Rattus norvegicus: one gene and its partners. The protein of the gene in region 1 interacts with the protein of each later gene in a pairwise test. Links are inferred from orthologs where the notes say so. Each region holds a gene or a part of one and is shown on either strand. Other genes may lie near its edges. The genes, in order: Fam161a, Zbtb8a and Cby2.

The links.
Region 2: the proteins of Fam161a (region 1) and Zbtb8a interact in binary tests that used the Homo sapiens proteins (3 or more experiments, as listed by UniProt). The two-hybrid records come from large-scale screens. The link is inferred for Rattus norvegicus from reciprocal best matches to the Homo sapiens genes FAM161A and ZBTB8A.
Region 3: the proteins of Fam161a (region 1) and Cby2 interact in binary tests that used the Homo sapiens proteins (3 or more experiments, as listed by UniProt). The two-hybrid records come from large-scale screens. The link is inferred for Rattus norvegicus from reciprocal best matches to the Homo sapiens genes FAM161A and CBY2.

The regions. Positions count from the first base shown.
Region 1 is NC_086032.1:101,220,606-101,224,342, forward strand, and holds the end of Fam161a (protein FAM161A), read left to right. Parts: coding exon 1-376; intron 377-742; coding exon of another isoform or gene 743-910; intron 911-2,873; coding exon 2,874-2,994; 3' UTR 2,995-3,176; downstream 3,177-3,737. UniProt on the Homo sapiens protein: Involved in ciliogenesis.
Region 2 is NC_086023.1:147,002,672-147,007,106, forward strand, and holds the start of Zbtb8a (zinc finger and BTB domain-containing protein 8A), read right to left. Parts: upstream 2,875-4,435; 5' UTR 2,737-2,874; intron 1-2,736. UniProt on the Homo sapiens protein: May be involved in transcriptional regulation.
Region 3 is NC_086033.1:57,318,311-57,321,442, forward strand, and holds the end of Cby2 (protein chibby homolog 2), read right to left. Parts: intron 1,867-3,132; coding exon 679-1,866; 3' UTR 510-678; downstream 1-509.

The DNA of each region.
Region 1 (3,737 bases):
GTCACTCCACTTACAGAGCTTTCAGGGACCCCAGAAGTCCTGCAATGCCAAGGGGTAAACACAGGCATAGGCGCCTGAGCCCCAGTGACCAAGGCTTGGAGAAATGGAAGGAACCCTTCTCTGAACAGAGCTTTCGGAACTGCCCGGTGCTTTGTGACCAGTGTTGTCTTTACGAATCCTTATGTGACTCCAATAAAAGACAGAAAATCTTGGCAGACATCCGAATGGGTGAGGAAATTTTGAAAGAAACACGCAGGCCTAATCCTTCTCCTAGGCATAAATCCCCCAGAAGAAGCGCGCACGCCAGCGCCAGGCCTTGTGAATACAGCCCTCCGATGCCCACCGCGTCTTCCCGAGGGCGCGAGCAAGCCATCAGGTAAGGCACTGGGATGGGCGCTCCTGGTCACATGGTTGCTGAACTGGCATAGGAAGAAGCCCTGTGGGTTTTGGCTTGATAAATCTGAATTTACTAAATTATCTGCAAGGTATTGTATGACATGGTGGAGAACCGTTTGCTAAGAATGTTCTTCTAAGAAACAAATGTGATTTCTGTGTTTCCTTGGGGAAGGTAGAGAAACAGCATCAGTTTTACTCGGATTTCCAATGTCACAATTACGATTTTGGTCAAAAGGTGGCCTTTTTTTTTTTTTTTTCTGGCCTTTGAATTATCCCATGTTAAATCTTTGCCGGACAACTTCCTCCTTGGCTTAAAGTGAATTAAGCCTTAGTTTGTTGCCCTCAGGAAATCCCTTGAGGAAAAGAAAATGTTGGAAGAAGAGAGAAATCGGATCCTAACTAAACAGAAGCAAAGAATGAGAGACTTACAGAAACTCCTGGCAACCCGGGTTAAGGCTTACGGCTCACAGCAGAGCTTGTCTCAGCTAGTTAAATCCAGGGTAACCGATCTCAGGTACCACGGAGGAGCCTGGGGACTCCAACAGCAGCTGTCAAACTCCTTCCCTTCCCCCTTTCCTTTCCTTTCCTTTCCTTTCCTTTCCTTTCCTTTCCTTTCCTTTCCTCTCCTTTCCTTTCCTTTCCTTTCCATGTAACTATGGATACCTAGATATGAAAATACTATGGTATCTTAATTTATGGATTTAAATAATCTTTGGCTGTTTCTCCTCAATTGTTACACACATATATCCACACATACACATCTTATGATAACAGTCAGTGTATATGCTCACCTCCAGAGTGAGAACCATGAGACCATGTGGACCAGAAGCATTTTCTGTTATGGCCATAGTTAATAACTGCTTTAAGGGGTTGGGGATTTAGCTCAGTGGTAGAGCGCTTGCCTAGCAAGTGCAAGTCCCTGGGTTCGGTCCTCAGCTCCGAAAAAAAAAAAGAAAAAAGAAAAAAAATAACTGCTTTAAAACCAGCACAAAACCTTCTTATAAGTGTGTTCTTTTTTTTTTTTTTTTTTTTTTGAGCTGGGGACCGAACCCAGGGCCTTGCGCTTCCTAGGTAAGCGCTCTACCACTGAGCTAAATCCCCAGCCCCGAGTGTGTTCTTATTTATAAATCTTTTAAATATTTGTCATATATACATGCATGTGCATAATGCATTATATATACATATATACTCATTGTATATACATACATTGTATATCTGGTGCTGGGGATGTGAGGATCAAAGCCTGGACCTTGGACACTGATCTGGCCTTATTAGCCCAGAGAATATTTTTTTTTCAATTAACAAACAAGTCAGGGAGCTCTGTTTTAAGTTTGTACCAAATACAACGGTTTGAGTGGCTGCGTCCTGGGTACATGCTGCCCCTCATGACTGTTCCCTGTGAAAGCTAATAGCATCCACAGGACACCTACACTCCTCTGCAAAATATTACTAGAATTCTATAGCGCAGAGTTTGAAAACCAGCATTCCAAACATTGCACATAAAAATGGTCATGCTTATGCAAGAGAAGCTCTCCTCCAAAGCTGGGTAAGTAATATGACTTACTAGCCTCTAAGATCCAAATACATGTATCTGCTTTTAACACTGAGTATTTCTTACAGTGTGGTATTAGCCCACTAATACAGCCTAGTTTGATGAACTTGTGCAAAACATTCCTTTAGGAATACAGTGTTTACTTGTAGGAAGTTAATGCCAACTTACTCTGAGTAAGCGTAATTATAATTACTTATAATTACTTTCTGTACCCGGGATACTCTCTTGTCTCGGCTGCTTTTAGTATAGCTTACCCAGAGAAGCACAGTGCGGTGTAATTCCTTGTGGGGCCTGGTCCATAGAGGAAGACAGCAACATCCAGCATTTTGGCTTCTCTCTTCTGTTGCTAAATACTCATGAGCCCCACTGTCTCGCTTTCCTGCTCCCACTTAATTAATGTTGCCCGTTATGTGATCTCATTTAGGCAAAGAAGAAACGTGGGGTCTTTTTTTTTAAATTTTTTTGAGAAGGTTTCTCTGTGTATCCTGGGCTGCCCTAGAAATAGCTCTGTAGGCCAGGCTGGCCTGGAACTAGAAGATCTGCCTGCTTCTGCCTCAGAGTTTTGGGACTAAAAGCACTGCCCAGTTTCAGGGTCTTGTTTTTGAAAGGATATTTTTAAGGTAACTATTTGGACCAGACTTTCTTGCTTTTGCACATTTCTATATAAAACACTTTCCAGGCAAGTTTGAAGTCTTTTTGCCTTGACAACTTTTGAAATCCAAATGCCCAGACGATTCCTAGAACAGAACAATGTGTGCCTTCAAGGCCTGGCTTTTTATTCTGGACGTAGGAGAATTCTGTCAGTCTAGAAAAGGAACTGGCCCGAACTGTGCTCTCATTTCCTGATTTGACTTCTGAAGTGAATGTCCTAATAGAGCTTCCGTAGCTGACCTTTTAAAATGCCGTTCTCTTTATCTGATTCTAGAAGGAGCGAAAAGGCCAGGATGAAAGAATATTGGCAAGAATTGGAGGAGCAAGATAAAAAATTGCAAAAGAGGCCGATGCTGTTTGAAAGAGTCTCCCAGGTTGTGTTTATTGGAATTTAGGGCCGTTACCAGCGTCCTGTTTCAGGACCTCTGGCCTCCATGTGTGTACTCCATCTCGTTGTGTCCTACAGTTGCCAAGACATGCCGTTTCTGGGGCAGCTTCATCCAGTCCACCAAGGAAGTGATTTTGCTTAAGATCTGATGAGGCTCGCAGCTCAATAAAGAACACGTCGCCAACCCTATGAACCTCAGGTTCCTGCCACAGTTGCTTTAGTGTCTGGTCTTTTCAGTCAGCCCGGCTCTTATTCTGTTGAGGCTTCGGGATAGCATGGGGAGGTCTTTGATGAGTTCAACCATTTGGTGTATGGCCATCGTACGCAACATAGTGAGACCCTGTCTCTTACAAGAATTTTAAATTGCATATTTATTTGTTTGTTTGTTTGTTTGTTTGTTTATTTATTTATATTACTTGTGTGTGAGTGTTTTGTGTGGGCACCATGCACATTTACTGCCCACAGACATCAGAGGGTATTGGATACCTCGGAACTGGGGTTGTGAGCCACCATATGTTTGCTGAGAATTGAACCTAGACCCTCTGTAGAAATAAGTGCTCTTAACTACTGAGCCATCTCTCCAGGCCTAAAAACATTAAAAAAAAAAAAAAAAAAAAGCAGATCTCTCTGCTTCCCCATTCTCCGTAGCACATCTTGACCACAGCACCGCCATTCCTTCCCATGGCGGCCATCCACTCCCGGTTTTAGTAGCGATCTCAAGGGGTCTTATGATTAACCTCCCTGCCATCC
Region 2 (4,435 bases), on another chromosome or scaffold:
GTGTCCTCCAAAGTTCATGCTGAAAGTTCATTCGCAGAGGAGGAGTATGACCAGGAGCTTTTAGGGGGTTATTAGGCCGCCGTGGGGGGGGAGGGGCACTGCCCTCAGGGCGGGATTAACATCCTTCAAAAGGGGTTTGAGGAGTAGGTCTGCTCCTGGCCTTATCCCTTCTTATCCTTTTTACTAATGAAGACACAGACTGTATTTACCCTCATTATGTATGTGGTGAGGAGGTGCCATCCCGGAAGCAGAAAGCAGCTGCCAGTCAGGGGACCATAATCTGGAACTTCCCGGCATTTACAGGTGTAAGAAGTAAATACCTGTTCTTTGGTTGATCTGTTGACCAGGCTGGCTTCCAAATCAGTGACATCCGCCTGCCTCTGCTAGGATTAAAGGTAGGCAACATCGACTGTTCTTTCTTTGATTATCTTAGTAGCACATATGGGCTACAGGGTCCAAGATAGGAAAGTTTTAGGATTAAATGTTAGAACCCTTAGGGAGGCTGGAGGCATGGCTTAGCAGTTAAGAGCACTGGCTGTTTCTCCAAGGATCTAGGTTCGATCCCCCACACCCACATGGAGGCTCACAGTCATCTGTAACTCCCATCCAGGGGGATCCACCACCCTTATCTGACACCAGGCATCCACTTAGTACACAGGCAGGCAAAACACACACACACACACACACACACACACACACATATAAATCTTAAGAAAAAAAAAATAGAGACTTGAGTTTTGAACTATGGTTGGAAGGCCTCGCTGAGAGGACTGATGCCCATAGTAGGAAAGTACCTACTCCAGGCAAACTGACAGCAGGTGCAAAGGCCATGAGGCGAACAGGAACGGAAGATGGAGAAGGGATGGGTGGGGAGAGCAGGCCACTGTGTGGTATGTGGGTAATGCCCCCTAAACCCCAGGGTCTTGGGAGGCTGAGGCGGGAAGAAGTAAGACCAAGTCAGCCCAAGCAAAACCCTCATCTCATAATGAAATTAAAATTTAAAATATAAGGGCTTGGGGGTGTATCTCAACGATAACATTTGCCTAGCACATGCAAGGCCCTGGGTTCAAAATACAAACGCGCACGCGCACGCGCGCGCGCGTTGGGATGCACAAACGCATGCACGCATGCGCACGCAGGCCGCATGCACACACCATGGGGCCTGTGTATATTTTTTTGGGAAGACATAAAGGAGCCATTTAAGGTTTTGAGAGGGCTGGGCATATGGTTTGGTGGTAAAGTGCCTACGTAACATGCATAAAGCCTTGGGTTCGGTTGGAATACAGGATAACACCAGGTTCGGTGGCCCACGCCTGTAAACCCTGCATTTAGCAGGGGGCTACAAGAGAATCAGAGGTCCAAGGTCATCATAAACTACAGATTTAGGTCTAGCCTGGGCTACACGGAACCCTGTCACCCTGTCTCCAAAAGGAAATATATATCGTAAAAAATGAAAAAGAAAGGGGTTGGGGATTTAGCTCAGTGGTAGAGCGCTTGCCTAGGAAGCGCAAGGCCCTGGGTTCGGTCCCCAGCTCCAAAAAAAAGAACCAAAAAAAAAAAAAAAAAAATGAAAAAGAAAAAAAGAGATATTTTAAAAACTTATATTAACCTCTTTGAACATTACAAAATATATAATTATGCCATTGAAGACAGAAATTTGTCTAGTGCATCCCAGCACTCCCACGGAGGTAAGAAGATCAGAATTTCAAATCTAGCCTGAGTCCGCTTTAAAACAAAGAATAAATAGGTAAATAGAAGCGCGATCTAAGTGATAAAATCAGCGAAGGTTTTTAGTTCTTTGAAGACTGCTCCAGGACGCTGCAAGAACAGGGCGCCTTAGGGGTGCGGGGGTACCCCCCTCTCAGTTCCCTGCCTAGGGATGAGACTCCATGGTTAGCGGGTTTGTTTTGTTTTTGTTTTTGTTTTTTTTCCTTTGCTAGGTAGACTAAACGACTGAACCGGTAGCCATCCCATAAGAAATTAAGTGCTCTATTTCGTCAAAGTGAAACCACTCCATTTGCTAAAGTTCTGCGAATATAAAGAGTTGTAGGTGTTGGCGGCGTGTGCGGTTGGGTGCCCGCTAGGTGTGAATCCTATTCCAAACACGTCTCGGAAAGACGTGGATTATGGCTAACCGCACGGTCAAGGGCGAGTAAGCGCGCCAGAGCGCGAAGGGACCAAGCCAGACAGGTCGCCCGGTGGGAGATGCCAGGGACATTTTGCCGGGAGCCAGCTGGGGCTCCATATTTCTGCCCTCGGTTCTAAGCCCGGAACTGTCGCGTCGTGATGGAAAGCCAGAGGGTGGAGGGCGGAGTGAGAACGCCGGGCTGCAGCGCCCCGCGCCCCGCGTCCCGCGTCCGACGGCTGCAGACACGCCCGGCCCCGTGGCGCCGCCTCACCGGCGCCTTCCCGCCTTTCCCGGGGCCGGGCCGGGGCTGGAAGCCCGGCGGCGGGGCGGGCGCGGGCGGCGACGGTGCAGCCATTGTCCCGCAGCCGCGCCCGGGGCCGCCGCCGCCGCCCGCGCCTCCTTTGTGGCCGTCGCCGGCCCTCGGAGCCGCGGCTCTGCGCCCTCCGCTGCAAATGGCGCCCGGCCGCCCGGCGCACCGGCCAGGGCTGCAGCCCCGGGGCGCACCCCGGCGGCCCCGCCGCCCTCCGCCAGGCTCTCGGCCCGGCCCGCAGCCCCGACGCCCCGGCCGCCCTCCACCCGCTCGCGCCCGTGCCCGCGCAGCCACTTACCGCGGGGCTCTGGCTGCTCGCTTGCTCGCTCGCGCGCGCTGCGGAGCGATTCCCGGTTCCTGGTAGGGGAAGCACCCTGTTCCAAAGCCGAGGCTTTGCGCCCTAAAACAAGTAGCCCCAACGTGAGAGAAACAAAAGGTATTTGCTGACGTGGGCGTTGGACAGAAACGCCCGAGGGCTGAGGACACAATTAAAGGGGCAACGCACAGATTTCAGGCACCAACCAGCAGCTTCGCCCACTCCCCCTGTCCGTGCCCACACCCGACTGCACCCTCCGCAGGCTCTGGGGCGCCCAGGTTCCCCAGCAGTTGGCTGCGGATCATTCTTTTAGTGGGGAGCTTAAAATTTAAAATTGTACTTTACGTTGGAAAAGGCGCCTCCGGAGGGCAGAAGGGCTGGATCTCTAAGATGTGGGGATATTGGTTCAAGGAGAGAGGGAGGGACTTAGGCGTGCCCACAATTACTGTATAAGTACTTGTGACATTATTGTGCTTAAGTTTAACGACGTAAAATGGGAGAGATTTCCACAAAATTTCCCTTTGTCAAAGCACTTAATTCCAGGCAGTCATAGCCTTTTAGAAACCTCTGTAGTTCCCCATCAGACCATTAGAAGAGGCAAGCCCCGAGGGGCTGAGATAAGAGAACGTGATTCTTGATATAAAAATAAAACAGGTTTTCTGTTTTCAAATATAAAAACTGGTCGTAAACCAAGTTTCTCTTCTGATGTCACCCTAATCCAGAGCACACAAATATCAGGTAATACATTTCCTAAAATAGTAAACTGCTGAACTTTTACACTGTTTAAATTCCACAAACTAGTTTCCTACTCCTTCATGCTGATTGTCAAGTACTGCCTGCCAAATTGGAGGGGGGGACTCAAAATTTCAAAGCATACGTTTAATATTTTGAAGCTATCCCTGAAGTCATACCCACCAGGGTTTCTGATTTCCCAAGTAGCTATGCATTCGAACATCATTGAGAATCAATACATCCATTCAGTTCTGAATGAAAAAGAAAGAAAAGAAAGGACGGAAGGAAGAAATAGAAAGCAAAGGAACAAGACGGGTCCTAGGTATAGCGGAGGAGAAAGTTGATTTTAGAATGTGAGAGAGCATAGCCAGAGGCAGGGACATCTGGGAGAGCACAGTGTGGACAGGAGCAGACTGAGCTGTGCCCTGTGAGAAGAAAGGAGGTGCGGGAAGGGAGAAGAGAGAGCAGCATAACCAGGTACAGCAGTCAGGGGACCCAAAATTACAAAGAGGGCGGGTAGCCAAAATGCTTAGATTATATAAGGAAGAGTAGCCCAGCCCCCTGGGCAGGAGAATTCAAACTAGGGGGCAGGATAAACCAGTCAAGAGGGCCCTGTAACAGGTATGGATTGAGGGATGCAGGGAGGACCTGGCGGACCAGGTCCCCTTTGTCATGTTAAATAGGCACCCCAGCTATTTGTCCCAGGTTAGAGACCAATTTCCTAATGTCACACCTGTTTACTCCCCAGGTGCTCTGTGATTAGATGTGTTTCCTCACGGAAGGAAAGACAGAAGGAAGCTTGTTTGAAAATCATTAGGACACCAGGTGCTGTGGCACACACCTTTAATGCCAGAACTCAGGAGGCGCTGAGTTCAAGACCACCCTGGTCTACATAGTTCCAGGACAGCCAGAGCTACATAGTGAAACTCTGTCTGAAAAAAAAAGAAAG
Region 3 (3,132 bases), on another chromosome or scaffold:
CTCATTTCCTAAAGAATGTAACCCGAGGATCCTAACTAGGGACTTCATGTGCTAATGACAAGTCCATGTGGATTCCCCAATTTTTGTAGATTTTGGTAGGGGGTATTGATGGGCAGCGGTCTACAGGAACTCTGGCTTTCAGCTCAATGTCATTCTAAAAAAAGTCGGCCTGTCGGTCTGTGGCCTGTGCCCCATCTCCTAACCCCTTGCATTTTGCAAAGCCATTTTTTTTTTACTATGTAGCCTAGATAAGCCTTAAGTTCACAATCCTCCTGCCTCAGCCTCCTGAGTCTTAAAAGAGTACAGAAATGTACCATGATAGCCAGTTAAGACTGAAGAAGGGGAGAGAAGGTACAGGGGCTGAAAGAAGAGAGAGGGGGACATGTTAATGAGATAGTTAATGAAGGAGGAGGGGCAGGAGGAGGGGGAGGAGGAGGAGGGACAGAGGGAAAGAGGTAAGACGTTAAAAGAGCAAGAAGGAAGGAGAAGGAGAAGCCATAACTCCACGGTGGTGTTGGCTGGCCCCAGCCTCCTCTGCCTTTATTGTGTCTCGGGTGGATGATGGCCCTTTCTCCGCTGTCCCACAGGCACGCACTGCTGGGCCAACACAAGGAAGACAAAGGAAGGTTGAGGATTCTCTCCGGCCTGGTCTTGGCGTCTATGTCCACTGCCGAGGCCTCAGACCCTGCTGGGCTTTTTGGGATCTTTGTTGTTCTTGGCCGGCATGAAGGCATACAACTCCTCAATAAGCATCTCCATACGAGCTGTGACCTCAGTCACCGTGTCGATGACCAGCCGCTGCTGCAGCTTCAGCTTGTTGTTCTCCCACAGGGCCTTGTTCTCCTCCTGGAAGACGCGATGCTCCTCACGCATGGCGTGGAGAGCCCTGTTCTCCTCCTGCAGCAGCCGGTTCTCCTCCCTCAGGGCCTGCAGTGCCTGATTCATCTCTCTCAGCAGCTGCAGGGGCTGAGCGCTGTCAGTTAGATTAGGGCCTGCCTTGCCCTCTTCTTCCCCAGATGGCCCGGACAAGTTGGTAACCATCTCCCTCAGGGCGCGCAGCGTCTTCGAGTCCTCCTGTGTTGTAGGGGACGCTTTGGGCTCCTCAAAGTGGGAGGAGTGGCTTGTGCTCTGATCTGGCAGAAGCCCTGAATTATGGGGTTCCTCCTTGGGTGAGGAGGTGGGCTTGCCCTCCTCAGCAGAAGTCGCACTCTCTTCTGCCTGTGCCCAGTAGGCCTGCCTCTGCTCCAGCAACTGCTGGAGGGCCCGGTTCTCCTCTCGAATGAACTGTAGGGTGTTCTCCTTGCTACGCTGGGCAGGCAAAGTGGCGTTGTCTTTCTTCACTACTTCCTGGGAGGTTGTGTCTTTGTGCAGCAGTGGCGAGGAGGTCTGACTCTCCTCGTGGCCCAAAGTGACCTTGTGCTCTTCCCAAAAGACCTGTAGAATCTTGTTCTCCTTGCGGAGGGCCTTGTTCTCATCCCTCAGAGCCCTGTTCTCATCCCGAAGAGACTTGTTCTCTTCCTGCAGCAGGTACTCCTTGGCCATCCTCTTGTGGTGCAGTTTATGGTGGAAGGAGGAGGAGGGAGAGAAGTAAGGTGACTGCAGGCGGCAGCTCTCGTTCACCCAACGCCCATCTTGGAAGACAAACATCTCGTCGCTAAGCTGCACTCGGGGAGGGTTGTAGTCTAGTTCCAGGTCGGCCTGGGAGGTGGGGCGCTCCATGGGGTCAAAGGGCATAGAGGAGAAGCGGTTGAGTGGGTAGGAGTGCTGGCTGGCTACCCTGCGGCTTATCCGGGGCATGGCAGCCTGCCTGGAGCAGCGAGGAGTGGTGTATAGGTTGTGGAGCCTCAGGAAGGGCTCCGTGCCCCTCTGTGGGAGGAAAAGCAGGGAAGCTGTTAATGGAGAAACTGTTAAGAGGACTGCTCAGGGTGGACTAAGAGGCCTGGAGACCCCCTCATATGACCTCCAGGGATCTTCACAAGGAAATATACCCAGCCTTTGCTATTCTGGGTAGCATTCTTCTGAATTAATGATCACGGAACCATGGTTCCTAGGGGGAAAAATGGGGCAGTTTCATCATAAAATTTCTGTCGACTGACCAGATAGAACACCGTGCTTCTGTTTAAAGACACTGTCATGGATACGCAGACTGACAGTGGGTGCATCATATACCATGAGCAGAGTTTATCTGACAAGCTCGCTCTTCGGGGCACAGCACAGACCGTGGTTATTAAGAAGAGTCTTTATTCGGTCCCCAGCTCCGAAAAAAAAGAACCAAAAAAAAAAAAAAAAAAGAAGAGTCTTTAACTGTATCTGTAGATGCCACTTTAAACGGTGAAGCCAACAAGGAGCACAAAAGTTTCAAAACCAAGCTGGCTTATAAACTGAAAACAAGACCCTTTGCCAGGATGAGTGTTCAAACAAGGGGGAGCACCCGAACCACAGTTCTTGGCCGCATACCCACATACAAACTCTGTAGATCCTAGAGAGACCACAAATACTCTATGAGCACTAAAGCTGGTGTAGTCAAAAGGTCCATACATTCAGTCATAACTATAAAACCTATAAATAATTAACCGTGCACTGGGCAGGCCTATAACCCCAGATACTCAGAGACAGTGTAGAAAGGAATATAAGCAGAACTTCCAGACCATACTGGATGCTTTCTATAGCAAGTCCCGACCAGGACTGCATAAAACAAGACCCTGTCTCAAAAAAGGAAAAGTCACACATAATAAGACCCAATCATGTGGCAGAAATGAAAGGTACTTGTTTTTTTTTTTTTCTTAACCTCTGGCCTTACCACTTATCAGTTATATGAATCTGGGCAAGTTGTGTGAATTCCAGTTTCTACAGTGTTAACCTGGGATAACTGCACCACCTTGAAGAAGGCATCAGATTTCTCAGAGTCGATGTTACAGGCATTTGCAGGAAGTCCAGCTGGTTATGTGGCCGCATTTTACCTGTATAATTCACTTAATCCTCATAGCGCTGGCAAGCGAAATACTATTTTAGCTTGAACATCCCTAATCTGAGAGTTCTTACTTCCAAAGTGCTCCAAACTCTGAAGTTTTCTGAGCATCTATGTAGTGTCTAAAGTGAGAAATCCCACACTTGCCTTCACACAGGTCCATG